Linked DNA regions of Cricetulus griseus. The protein of the gene in region 2 purifies or fractionates together with the protein of the main gene of each other region. This does not show direct contact. Links are inferred from orthologs where the notes say so. Each region holds a gene or a part of one and is shown on either strand. Other genes may lie near its edges. The genes, in order: Rmnd5b, Armc8 and Tceal9.

Evidence for each region.
Region 1: the proteins of Armc8 (region 2) and Rmnd5b purify together in Homo sapiens (affinity purification with mass spectrometry; 4 studies listed by BioGRID and IntAct, with this or other methods). This does not show direct contact. The link is inferred for Cricetulus griseus from reciprocal best matches to the Homo sapiens genes ARMC8 and RMND5B.
Region 3: the proteins of Armc8 (region 2) and Tceal9 purify together in Homo sapiens (affinity purification with mass spectrometry; 3 studies listed by BioGRID and IntAct, with this or other methods). This does not show direct contact. The link is inferred for Cricetulus griseus from reciprocal best matches to the Homo sapiens genes ARMC8 and TCEAL9.

What each region holds. Positions count from the first base shown.
Region 1 is NC_048600.1:65,917,940-65,922,102, forward strand, and holds the start of Rmnd5b (E3 ubiquitin-protein transferase RMND5B), read right to left. Parts: upstream 2,942-4,163; 5' UTR 2,804-2,941; exon of another isoform or gene 2,665-2,803; intron 1-2,664. UniProt on the Homo sapiens protein: Core component of the CTLH E3 ubiquitin-protein ligase complex that selectively accepts ubiquitin from UBE2H and mediates ubiquitination and subsequent proteasomal degradation of the transcription factor HBP1.
Region 2 is NC_048597.1:207,972,397-207,976,492, reverse strand, and holds the start of Armc8 (armadillo repeat-containing protein 8), read left to right. Parts: upstream 1-1,209; 5' UTR 1,210-1,458; coding exon 1,459-1,503; intron 1,504-4,096. UniProt on the Homo sapiens protein: Component of the CTLH E3 ubiquitin-protein ligase complex that selectively accepts ubiquitin from UBE2H and mediates ubiquitination and subsequent proteasomal degradation of the transcription factor HBP1.
Region 3 is NC_048604.1:44,120,141-44,123,795, reverse strand, and holds Tceal9 (transcription elongation factor A protein-like 9), read left to right. Parts: upstream 1-1,269; 5' UTR 1,270-1,423; intron 1,424-1,908; 5' UTR 1,909-1,974; intron 1,975-2,322; 5' UTR 2,323-2,382; coding exon 2,383-2,694; 3' UTR 2,695-3,042; downstream 3,043-3,655. UniProt on the Homo sapiens protein: May be involved in transcriptional regulation.

The DNA.
Region 1 (4,163 bases), on a different chromosome or scaffold from region 2:
CCCCTTCCCCCTTTTCAAGTAGCCCTCAACATGGAGTGCACAGATAATCCTCAGAATGCTGGCAACAGAATAGAGCATCTGCACTCATGCAGAGGACTAGAAATAAGAGGACTGAGTTATGTGTCCCTCTAAAGGTGTCAATGTAGCCAGCTATCCACTCTCCCAAAAGAATGGCAGCACAAGAAGCCAGTGTCCATGGTGACCCTGGGATCTTCCTATTTCTTCCACACTCCTAGTCCCACAAGCACCACCCATCTCGGCTTTACCATCTCAGCTCCACTTACAGCCACTTTCTCCCTCCCAGATGGTGGACAAATGACAGAAAAGTGATTGGCCTTGGCTGATGTTATTGTACACACTAAAATCTATAATCATAGTGTCCGGAGATGTTACACCCCCCAAAACAGACTCAACAGTTATAAGATATTATGGGTAAAATATAACAGGGACTCCCATTTAAAATGATATAATTATTTTGCTTGATAATAACTAACATTCCCCAGAGGCTCGTTATGTGCTAGGCTCTGCTCCAATGACTTCACCCATTAACTCATTCACCAATTCTCACAACACTATGAGGTAGGTATGGTTATTAGACCCACTTTGCAGCTGAGAAAATGAGACAGGGAAAGACAAAATAAACACCCCAAGGCCACACAGCTGGGAAGTGGAGGAGTGGGAACAGAAGGAAGCCTGCTATCTAGCTCTGGGCTGAGGTCCTCACTGTGGATACTTTGTACAACAGACCAGCAAAGCAGGGTGTATGTGTATATGGCTGTGATGAACTCATAGGGTCCATCAGTTATAACAAACAGGAAGTTAAACTGGAGCAAATGCAAACCACCAGCTGGGGAAGATGGTCAAAAAAAGAAAAAGGGGGATTTCTGGAGAGATAGCTCAGAGGTTAAGAGCACAGGCTGCTCTTCCAGAGGTCCTGAGTTCAATTCCCAGCAACCACATGGTGACTCACTATTATCTATAATGAGAATTGGTGCCCTCTTCTGACATATAGGTATATGCCAGAACACTGCATACATAATAAATAAACAAGTGAACCTTCTTGAAAACTTAAAAAGCTGAGGATTGGGGCTGAGAAGATGGCTTCATTGGTAAAGTGCTTGCCACATCTGCTGGATTAAAAGCATGCGCTACCACCCCGGTTACAGCCACCTTTTTACACTATAAATGCTAGGGATCCAACTGAGGTTTCTACTCATCGAGCCAGCTGCCTTGTACAGCCACCTTTTCTGCATGACAAATCTGATGTGTCAGTCCCACACAGATCTGAATCCTTATGACTGTCTCTTCACATGTGTTTCCCCGCACTGGACTACCAGCTGAACAAAGCCTGGAGACTAGTTTCATTCTCTTCTGGGCCTGGGCCACCACAGGCCTGAGAGTTTGCTCTAACTGTTTAAACAGTACCTCCATTTCCAGCCTTTGGCTAAGCAGGCCTGAGTCAAAAGCTCCCAGTGGGCAGAAAGAGATATGAAGGAAATGTTAAAAATTCACACTACAGGGGCCAGAGAGATGCTCACTGTTTCCGAGCACTTGCTACTCTTGCAGAGGATCGGTTCAGTTCCCAGGACCCACAACCTCCTTGTAACACCAGTTCCAGAGGCCCTGAAGCTCTCTTCTGACGCTGCATTCATGTGGTTCATAGACACACTTGCAGGCAAAACCATAACCATAAAATTTTTTTTAAAAATTAAAACAATCTGTTTTGTGTAGTGGCTCACACCTTTAATTCTAGAACTCAGGAGGGAGAGGCAGATAGCTTGTTGTGAGTTCCAGGCCAGCATGGTCTACAGTGACTTCCAGGACAGCCAAGGCTATGTGGAGAAGAAAGGCTGCCTCAAAATGAATAAGAAAGAAAGAAAGAAAGAAAGAAAGAAAGAAAGAAAGAAAGAAAGAAAGGCCTGATGGTGGGGCAGGAGGCAGAGGCAGGCAGATTTCTGTGAGTTTGAGTCCAGTCTGGTCTACAGAGCTAGTTTCAGGATAGCTAGGGCAGTTACACAGAGAAACCCTGTCTCAAAAAAACAACAGAACAAAACAAACAAAATATATAATAAGAGGTTGGGTGTGGTGGTACATGACCTTAATACATACAGCACTTAGGGAGGCAGAAGCAGGTTCACCTTTGTGAGTTTGTGACCAGCCTGGTCTACTTAGGAAGCTCCATGCCATCCTGGGCTATCAGAGACCCTGTCTCAAAAGGCAAGAACAACAAAACAAACAAACAAACGCATTCACCAAACAAACGCCTCATTGTAGTCACTCTCCCCCTCATTTGCCATACTCTACCACCACTGACCTTTCTGTTCCAGCGTACATACAGTTTATTTCTGCCTCCACCCTCTGCCTGGAACTGGCTCTTCACATCTTTCCATAGCTGACTCCTTATCTAGGTCTCGTCTTTTCAGACCCCAACATCCAATGCCCTGTACTTTACCCTCAAACAAATCATATCCCTGTTAACATTAGAAAGTTTCAAATCGTAACATCTTCACCTAAAACTGGAAGCACAGGAAAGCCCACCATTTACCCTGCCACGACCCGGACTTCACCCGCATTATGGTGCTAAGGACTGGCAAACTCCTACTCATGCTTCCAGAGACCCTCCTGCAGTGCCCTGCCAGGACTCCACCGTCCGCAGCTGGTTACCTCTGACCCAGTCAGCTGCACCAAGATAGGACGTCCGAGTCGGGCGACTCCACCAGCCCTTGGAGGGTGTGGCAGACGACTGCTCCGGGCTTTGGTCGGGGCGCCCCGCACCCCGGACCCAGAGCCCCCAGGCTGTCACCTAGTCCTGCAGCCCAGCCGGCTTCCGGCGCCGCTGTCATCGGAACCGGAAGGCGCGGCAGTTGCCCCTCGGGTGGGTCCGGGCTCGCCCATGCGCGTTGTCGGGGAGCGTGGGGAGACAGTCCGTCTATCCCGTGGCTTTGCCCAGAGTGCAGAATGGAATCGCCCGCGGGAGCCAGGAGGCAGTCAGCGCCTGCGCAGTGTCCGGGTGCCGCTTCCTTGCTACCCGCAGCGAACCTCGGTTTCCGCCGACCGGAACCACCGGAGGGTTGTCCCGGCTTTCTATCGGAAGTATGAGCAGGTGTACCTGCCTAATTGGAGTCCCTAACCGCTAGTCCTGTCTATATTCCTAACTCTTAAATGTCGAGGCTGGTGCATGGGGAAGCTGATGCTGGAGGAGCGCCGCGAGTTCCAGACGAGTTTGAACTACAAAGTGAGATTTGTCACAGAAAATAAAGCTGGACACTGTGGCACTTGCCTATGATTATAGGAAGACCAAAAGTTCAAGGGTACATAGTGAATTAGGCCAGCCTGAGCTATTTGAGACCTTGTCTCAAAACAAACACAAAAGCAGGGGAAGGGGGGGGCGTTGCTCAGCGGCTTAAAGGTTGCTGATCCTTCAGTCCATCCCCAGCACCGGAGAAATAAAAATTTCAAAAGCCCGTTACATGTACGTGGCCCAGTGATTAGGTATTTCCTGTGATTCTTTTTGAAATAGCAAATAATGTTTAAAGGAAGAGTCCTGAGGCCATGGGTAAAGTGTTTGCAGTGCAAACCTGAGGACCTGAGTTGGGATCTCTGGCACTGGTTTAAAGCTGACCCACCCCTAGTGGCGCAGGCCCATAACTGCAGCACTATGGTGGGTGGACACACGAGGACACCCGCGTGTGCTTGCCGGCTAATGGAGTTGAAAAGCAGAGCTCCGGGCTCAGTAAGAGATGGCGTCTCAAGGGAATAAGGTGAGGCGGGTGGCACACGCCTTTAATCCCAGTACTCGGAAGGCAGAGACAGGCGGATCTCTGTGAGTTCGAGGCCAGCCTGGTCTACAGAGTGAGTTACAGGACAACCTCGAAAGCTACAGAGAAAAGAAAAAAAAAAGTGAGAGAATAAGGTGGGGAGTGATAAAGTGGCCTCCACGCATCTATACATGCAAGCACACCCACGTACACGTTTACATTACATATGCACAATGCTTAAAGATGATTGTTTTTTGTCCTGGCCAGTCATTTAATTCTATTCTTCCATAGCTCCCAGACCTGCTGCTCTCTGTGGATCGCCCCTCTTTAGTGGTAAGATGAAGTAGGGGGTTGCATATCTGCCCTAATTAAAAAGGATGAAAGAGCTGGTTGTAGTGGCACATA
Region 2 (4,096 bases):
TTCCTGGAAAATGTATTGCCTGAGTTAAAGAGTGAAGTGTAGCTCACATAGCTATAGAGACTATGTGCAGTTACAATCTGCCTGGTTGTAGCAGGCATACTAGGACATGATTTTAGGAGCTAGGTAGATAGACATTTAATATTTGTATTTATGAATGGTAATGTATCCTAGAATAAAAAGGAACACAAAAAACTTGATTTCACAGACTACGATTTAGGGAAAAGCTAAAAAATTCAAAGATGTGGAAACTGGCTTTAAACAACGTTATTGGATGAATAATAACACCCGGCCGAACACTGGCAAACATTGTGTAGTTAGGATGCAAGCTACAGAATTTAGGAGAGAATATACTGTTACAGCAGGTTCTATTAAACTTCCAGTCTTCCAGAAGTGCAACATTTTGTAACAGACCTATAAGCAGGGGTGATAAATGATACAATGAATTTAGAAAGTACAGGTGGAAATGAGGAGAAAGATAGGCTTTTGCTCTAAGAGCACTGGGAAGCCTCTTGCTTTATCCCGAGGAACAGTAACAACCTAATTAGAGATGGCTTCACCTATCAGCGTGTTTTAGTACGCGATACTCAGATAGTTGACCAATTGTCCCCCTCCCCGCCACCCCTCCCCCATATGACTCAGAGGCTGGAAAAATGCTAACACATAGAGAGCACAAGGCTTTCCACATGCCGGGCTTGTTGTTTGGTTTATTGCCTCATTTATTCTCATCAGCCCTTATTTTACAGTCGGGAGAACTGAAATAAAAGGAGGCTAAGGAACCTGTCCAAGATAAAGGCGCTAACTAAAGTAGCAAGGATTAAACCCAGGCGTCTTGGCACTGGAGTGCTCGCTCATTCCGAACACTAAACCAGAATCCACGCGTGGGTCGGGCACACGACGTTAACGCAGGTCACGCTTGAGCGTTGAAGCGTGAAACCACCGTTCTCACTAGCGGCACGAGACCCGGTTTCGAGACCAGTTTCTCCAGCCCCAAGATGGGGACAGTACTGAGGCTCGGAGTTTGGTGCAGAGTGAGATAACGAATGTGAAAGTGAACTTCAAACTACGTCGGTAACTCCACCTACTAGCGATTAGGAAACAGAACCCGCAAACCGAAATTTACCAGTACCCAGAGCCCGAGTGAGGCTCCGCCCCCAGCAGGCGGAAGGTGGGGCAGGCGGGCCTTTGCGCATGCGGAGGCCTCTGGCCGCGCCCTCCTCTGACCCCAGCGAGAGTAGCTGCTGTTTCTGAGAGGACGATTCGTAAGCCGGGTTCGGCGCGGTTACCCATTCTTCTCCCTTCCGCCCGGTCCTTCGGTGCTCAAGCGACGCCCGGAGCCCGGTCGGTTCCGCGTAGCTCGTCTGGCTTTCCACAGAGGATCCGGCTGCTGGCCCCATAGGTGGCTGTCGAAAGTGCCGGCCGCGCGCCGGCGCCGGCAGCAGCCGGGTGGGAAGGCTCAAGATGGCGTGCCTGTTGGAGACCCCAATCCGCATGAGTGTCCTCTCGGTGAGTGACCCACCCGCTCGGCGCCCAGCAGCCCGGGCTCCGCCAACTCTGTGAGCCCGGCGCGGTGAGCTTCCCGAGCACCACCCCCTGCGGTGGCCGTAGGTGGGACACACGCGGCCCGGGCCGAGCCGGAGGCGTCTCACACTCGCGAGCTCCCACCGGTGCGGACTCCCGGGGCGGCGTCGGGCCGGCGGGGAGGTCGGGCTCTAGGCAGCCGGCCCATGGGCGCGGCTTGGGCTTGGCCGAGCGTTTCCCCTGCCTCCCTCTCTGCGCGGTTGCCTCTCCAGACCGAGCTCGCTGCCTGCTGAGGTTCAGGGCAGGCCTGGGACCGAGCGACCACTCCACTCTCCCGGGCTGTGGGTAGAAGAGGTGTGAGCTCTTCCGCTGCCACAGCACAGAGCTGCCAGGCTAGGGCTGTGTGTCTTCTGTCACGTCCCTACACCCAGGCACCTGCCAGAGCCGCTTGTTTCTCGGCAATGGATATATATAATATATATATATATATATATATATATATATATAATTCAAGCTGCTACTCTTGCTATATTGTGTGTGGTTATTTAAACCGCTTTGCTCTGTTCTGCTCCTGAGGTCGCGGCTCGGACACTAGAGAAACTATGTTGCTATTGCCCGGTGTTCATTTTTTTCCTTAGGGAGAACAAAACATTTTAGAAGGAGGAACCAAAAGGGGTAATTAAAAAAAAAAAACAAGATTAAATTTCCCCATTCCCCCATTCAAGAAGGGAACGTCTTGATACGCCAAGAAGTCATACCATTTCTTTTCTTCTTACGTTAAAAAGAAACAACAACAGCAACAAACCAACAAGAAGACGTTCACCTTCCACGATATTGTCCTTAAAAGAAAAGAACAGGAGCATCGATGAAATGAACAAGAATGAAAGTTGCAGGGGGATAACTTTGGAGGGTTTCACGACAGGTTTTAGCTGTTGCACGCCAAGTAGAGTTTACCAATGAATGATTCATTTGTTGTTGTTGGAAATAAAGAAGTATGCAGGCAAAGAGCGATTGATCATCCTTGAGACTTGTTGAAACTTACTGAGATGGTAGTTGGATTCTAAATGACTTGCTATGATTCCTACAGTCTTGCAACTCCAACCGGTTCCTTTTCTCGGCTCTGACCTCTTACACAAACACACTCACGTGTTCAAAGGCACCTAGTACATCACTCCAGGGTTAGAGCCATTCAATAGGCTGCTACCTACAGTTACAATACAGTGCAAAATGTAATTTTGGGAGGTGATCAACAGATCTATCCCTGGATCCATTTTACTCAACTGCTTACTTAAACTGCAACTAGAGAAATGCTGTTCACCCAGCTATTGAGCACATTAGCCTGTTAGTCCACTTACGATGTCCATGAATGTTTTGTGGGAGAACAGACCAGTGATCTCCCTAATTGAGTTAAAAGACAAGAAAGATGTATCCTAATGGTTCAGTTCTCTTTTGATTATGTCATCCTGATTTCAGATACCCTTTAGTTCATCTGAAAAACTTTTGGTTGCCCTCCCCCCCCCAACACACACACACACACACACACACACACACACTGAACCCAACCCTTTGAGCACCCTTGGTAAGGTGCTGTTCCAGAATACAGTCCTAGCTCCACCTGTTTTCTTTCTGTACATTATCAACTTGAATAGTGTAGATAATCAAAAACCTCATTTGTCTCACTTTCTTTGTAAATGATTATGTTCTGTTTATTTCACTCAAAAAAACTTCTTGAAGAATATTTTCCATTTTTGAGTTAGAATTTGCTTTAGCTCTAGTCTCATTTGGGAGCATAAACTAACTCAAAGGTCTAGTTTTCCAATTCGTTGGTCTTAGGGCAGAGCTTTGGAGAAACACTTTAAAATGTCTTGAGCTTAATGATCTTACAGGTTAAAGGAAAGACTTTGCCTTTCAAACAGCTAACTCAAGCACCATTTTAATATTAATTATTAATTAGAAGTTATTGTGATTAAGGAAGTGGCTCAGTGGGTAAATTCCTTGCTTCACAAGCATGAGGACTTGAGTTAGGATCCTCAGTACCTACATAAAAAGCCCCATATGTCAGTGCATGTTTGTAATGTCACTGCAATGTCAGTGCATGTCTGCAATGTCAGTGCATGTCTACAATGTCAGTACATGTCTGTAATGTCAGTACTGGGAGGCAGATCCTAGAGGCTTTCTAGCTAGTTGCTATAGTCAGAACTGGGAGCTTCAGGTTTAGTGAGAGACCCTGTCTCAAAAAGTAAGGTAGAAGCAGACAAAGATAACCGATGTTGACCTCTGACCTGTGATCCGGTGAGTGCATGCACACACGCGCGCGCGCACACACACACACACACACACACACACACTTGGGTGAATCTCTTCAATAAGCTACTTACTATATGCCTTTGATGTACAAAGCCCTGTGTTGTGTGTGTACTTTAGCAAATGCAAGGTTATCAGAAGTGCTCCAAAGGAGCTCATAGTCCTGATGACTCTGCAGTGTGATAACTGTAAGTTGCTGAATGGGAAATCAAATTGTTTTAAATTATTTCCATCTGTAGTCCATTATACCTTCTTCCTGAGAGACCACAGTTGC
Region 3 (3,655 bases), on a different chromosome or scaffold from region 2:
TTAAATTACTGCTCTGTCTACATGTAAAATTGAGCAGAAGTCTGACTCCGAGGTTAAGATAACCAAAGAGAAGCTACAACATGAAGGCAGCAATGCCACATTTTTTTCTAGACATTTTAGACACCCACAGGGCATGTGTAATCAAGTGAAAAGCCAGTACTTTTACCTAAAGAGGCTTTCAAGTCCCTAACCCAAGCAATCATTGTCATCATAAAACTAGTGACTTGATTTTTGAAGTCATTTCAAATATAAAGAAGTCAGAGCCCCCTACCCCATTAATCAAATCATGTCCAAACCACAGCTCTGTTCTCACATCAGTTCTCTTTGCAGCAAACTCTATATATATATATATATATATATATATATATATATATTCATACATACATGTTATTTCACTTGTATTTATTCAAGTGAAATAAAATGGGAATGAGTGAATGTTGAAGGTGTGCTACAGCTAAGTGGTTTGGAGCAGTAAAAACACAGTGTTAAGACATCCCAACAATTCATGATAGTTCCTGTATCACCTTCTTTAGAATAAGGAGACCTTGTGTTAACAATATGTACCTGATAATTGACCAAGTAATGATTTTTCAGGCAACATAATTCTTGACAGTACCCCCAGCAGGGCTCGAGATAAAATAATTATCTTTATTTATTTTAAAAAATTCTCCCTAAATGACATCAGAAAATAATAAACATTTAAAAAGCACATACCTTAAAGCATTTACTATATACCAGGCCCTAGTCTAAGTAATGTACCTGTATGAATTCATGCATGTATCTAAAATAACTTGGCTGTTACTTCTGACTGTAAAGCGACATTTCTTTTGAAATGATTACAGAAGTATTAAGAACAAAGTTTAAAATGTTTTCAAGAAATCACAGTCCTATTCCAAGATCCTTTTTTGTCCCCAATCGTGCCCTACCTACCTGGCTCCACACAACAAAGGAGTACTTTTCAGATGAAGGGGGAGGAGCTAAGGAAACAGATTGGGGAGTTAGTGATACTGGCAGCTGGGAGTGGGAGACAGGAAGGGTCAATTATTAAGTGAAGCGGAAAAGTTCGTAGCTCCAGAAAATAAGATGCTCCTCTTTAGTAATCAGAGAACTGCAAAAACAGAAAAAAAAAAACGCACATTTTTTTTTTCCTGCAGAAAAGACTGACACAGCCAAGTGTGTGTTCGGGAAGGGGGTAGGTGAGGGAGCAGAGGGCGGGCCCACATCTGCCGCGCTTTTTGTGGGAGTGGAGATCGGGGACCCGAGCTCACTGGTGACGTAGATCTCATGTGACCAGGAGTCGACGTGTGCAGAAATCCTGCTAGTCTGGTCCTTGTTTCCATCTGGGTACCAGCTTCCTTCAGCTTCGCAGGCGGCGGTGTAAGAGGCCCGCGGAAGGAGGAGACAGCTTGTTTAAATTCTCCAGGTTGGTGTCAGAGGGGGTATTGCTTGGGTTTTTCTAGTGTAGGGTGGTCTAGGATAGAGACTGGAGTTCCAGTTAAGTCCGTCCCTCCACCCCTTAGCTTCAATTCTGCAGGAAAGGACACCCGTGAAAGGAACCGGACTGGGGGCGGGGGGTCCCAAAAGGAAAACAAGGAGACCAATGACGGCTCAAAAATAACCATACTCTGAGATTTTGGACCTCTTTTCTGACAGCCGCTCGGCTTCCGAAACCTCGGCTTGGATCTACCGACAGTTGGGAAATAATATTCCCTGTCTGATGAGAAAGACAAGCTAACTTGCGGGGTGGGAAGGAGGAATCCTGTGGGAAACAAAGGGTGGGAAATGTCCGTAAGCAAGACCTTAAATAAGGAAAGATCCGTGAGCTGGATCTGTGGTGCTGCTCTGCTGAGCGCCCAAGGCTCGCTCGCCCCACCCCCAACATCCCCTCCCTTCTCCGTTTGCCTGCAGGTTTGTTCTTTGTACCGCTCCAGGCTAAAATAAGTGGGAGAAAGAAACTGACCAGATCAGTACCTGGTAAGTGAAAGGAACTTTATACCAGACTCCCAGGGTGTGGGTTGGTGAAGGCCCGCTGCGGGAATGAAGGCCTTGGAAAAAATGCTTGAGGGAGGGACTAGAGAGGGGAGGGGGTGGAAAATGGAGGTAAGAGGGGCGGGCACTGGGAAACCTTGATTGCGGACTGGGCTTCTTAGGTGGAAGGTATTTGCTGAGGACAGTTGGACCAAAATGGGGTGGGGAGAGAGGGGGGAGGCGAGGGGTGGGGAGAGACAGGGAGAGAGAGAGCACAGGGTGAGGAGACCTTTTGTGCACAGCACCTGCACACTTACCAAGTCTTCCGCTTACTGTCTTCTACTTGCTTCCTAGAAATAATCGCATTCACGAATAGGCAGGAAGAAGCAAAGAAGGAAGAGAAGCACACACAAGATGAAACCCTGCCAAAAAATGGAAGGAACCCCAGAAAATGATGAGCCAAAGCCCGAGGAGGAGCCAAAGCCCGAGGAAAAGCCAGAGGAGGGGGAAGAACCAGAAGAGGAGGAAAAATCGGAAGAAACTTTTAGGGAGAGGCTGATTCAGTCTCTTCAGGATTTTAAAGAGGATATACATAACAGGCATTTGAGCAGTGAAGATATGTTTAGGGATGTGGATGAAGTAGATGAGATAAGGAGAGTGAGAAACAAACTTATAGTGATGCGTTGGAAGGCTAATCGAAACCACCCTTATCCCTATTTAATGTAGCTTGCCTTGGTTTCTGTTTTATCTGGTATTGCCACTGCAATATAGCTTTCTTTTTATTAGCAATTTTCTGATATGCCTTTGCCCATCTCCCTATTTTGAATCTGTTGCTATTAGTGGTTTTAGATGTATCTCTTCTTGTCTGCATCTTACTGTTGCTTATATTTGAATCAATCTACAAGTGTTTGGCTTTGAATGAGAGAGCTTTACTGATTTGTAAAAAAAAAATGAGCTTCTGATGGGATACAAAATGAGGAAAGGTTACAAAATAATATGAGGATATCATATTTTGAAAGACAAGAGTACCTTTGTATGCTACATAAATGCACATATAAACTTGTGAAAGATGAATGATTTTTCTTCTGCTTATTTGTATTTGCCATATTCCTAAAATGAACGTGCATTATTCTTGCTAAAAATAATAAAGGTTTTATAACTAAAAATAAGCATCCAACAGCTCTTATCAATTTCTAAAATGCTGGGGCACTTGTTATTCATTGACAAAATATTAGAACCACTGAGTTAAAAGATTAAAATTTACACCTATTCTTATCTGCAGTAATAAGCATAATAGTCTTGTAGGAATTTTGTGGTGGCCAAATAAGATACCCAGAGCTGTTTGACAGGGTTTTATCACCATTGCTCCCACAGGATCCAAATGCTAGAGATTTGTTCCTGCTATTTGGAAGCATAGAGAAAGTAATTCTCATGCTGTGCTTGAGAACAAACTCACTCTCCAACTGGTGGGCGAGTGCTACTTGTCTAGACTCCCATCTAGCTGCTTTATGACATTAACATGGTATTCCAGACCCTCTCCTGCATTCTGAAAATTTCAGTTCCCTGGTGCTTTGTAAAATTCTCAAGTACCAAAGCCGAGAACACTGCTTTGGTACCTCCAATGGACCAGATCTGCAGACATCAAAAGTGATGGAAATTTTGTCCATCTTTTCCAATTTGATAGACA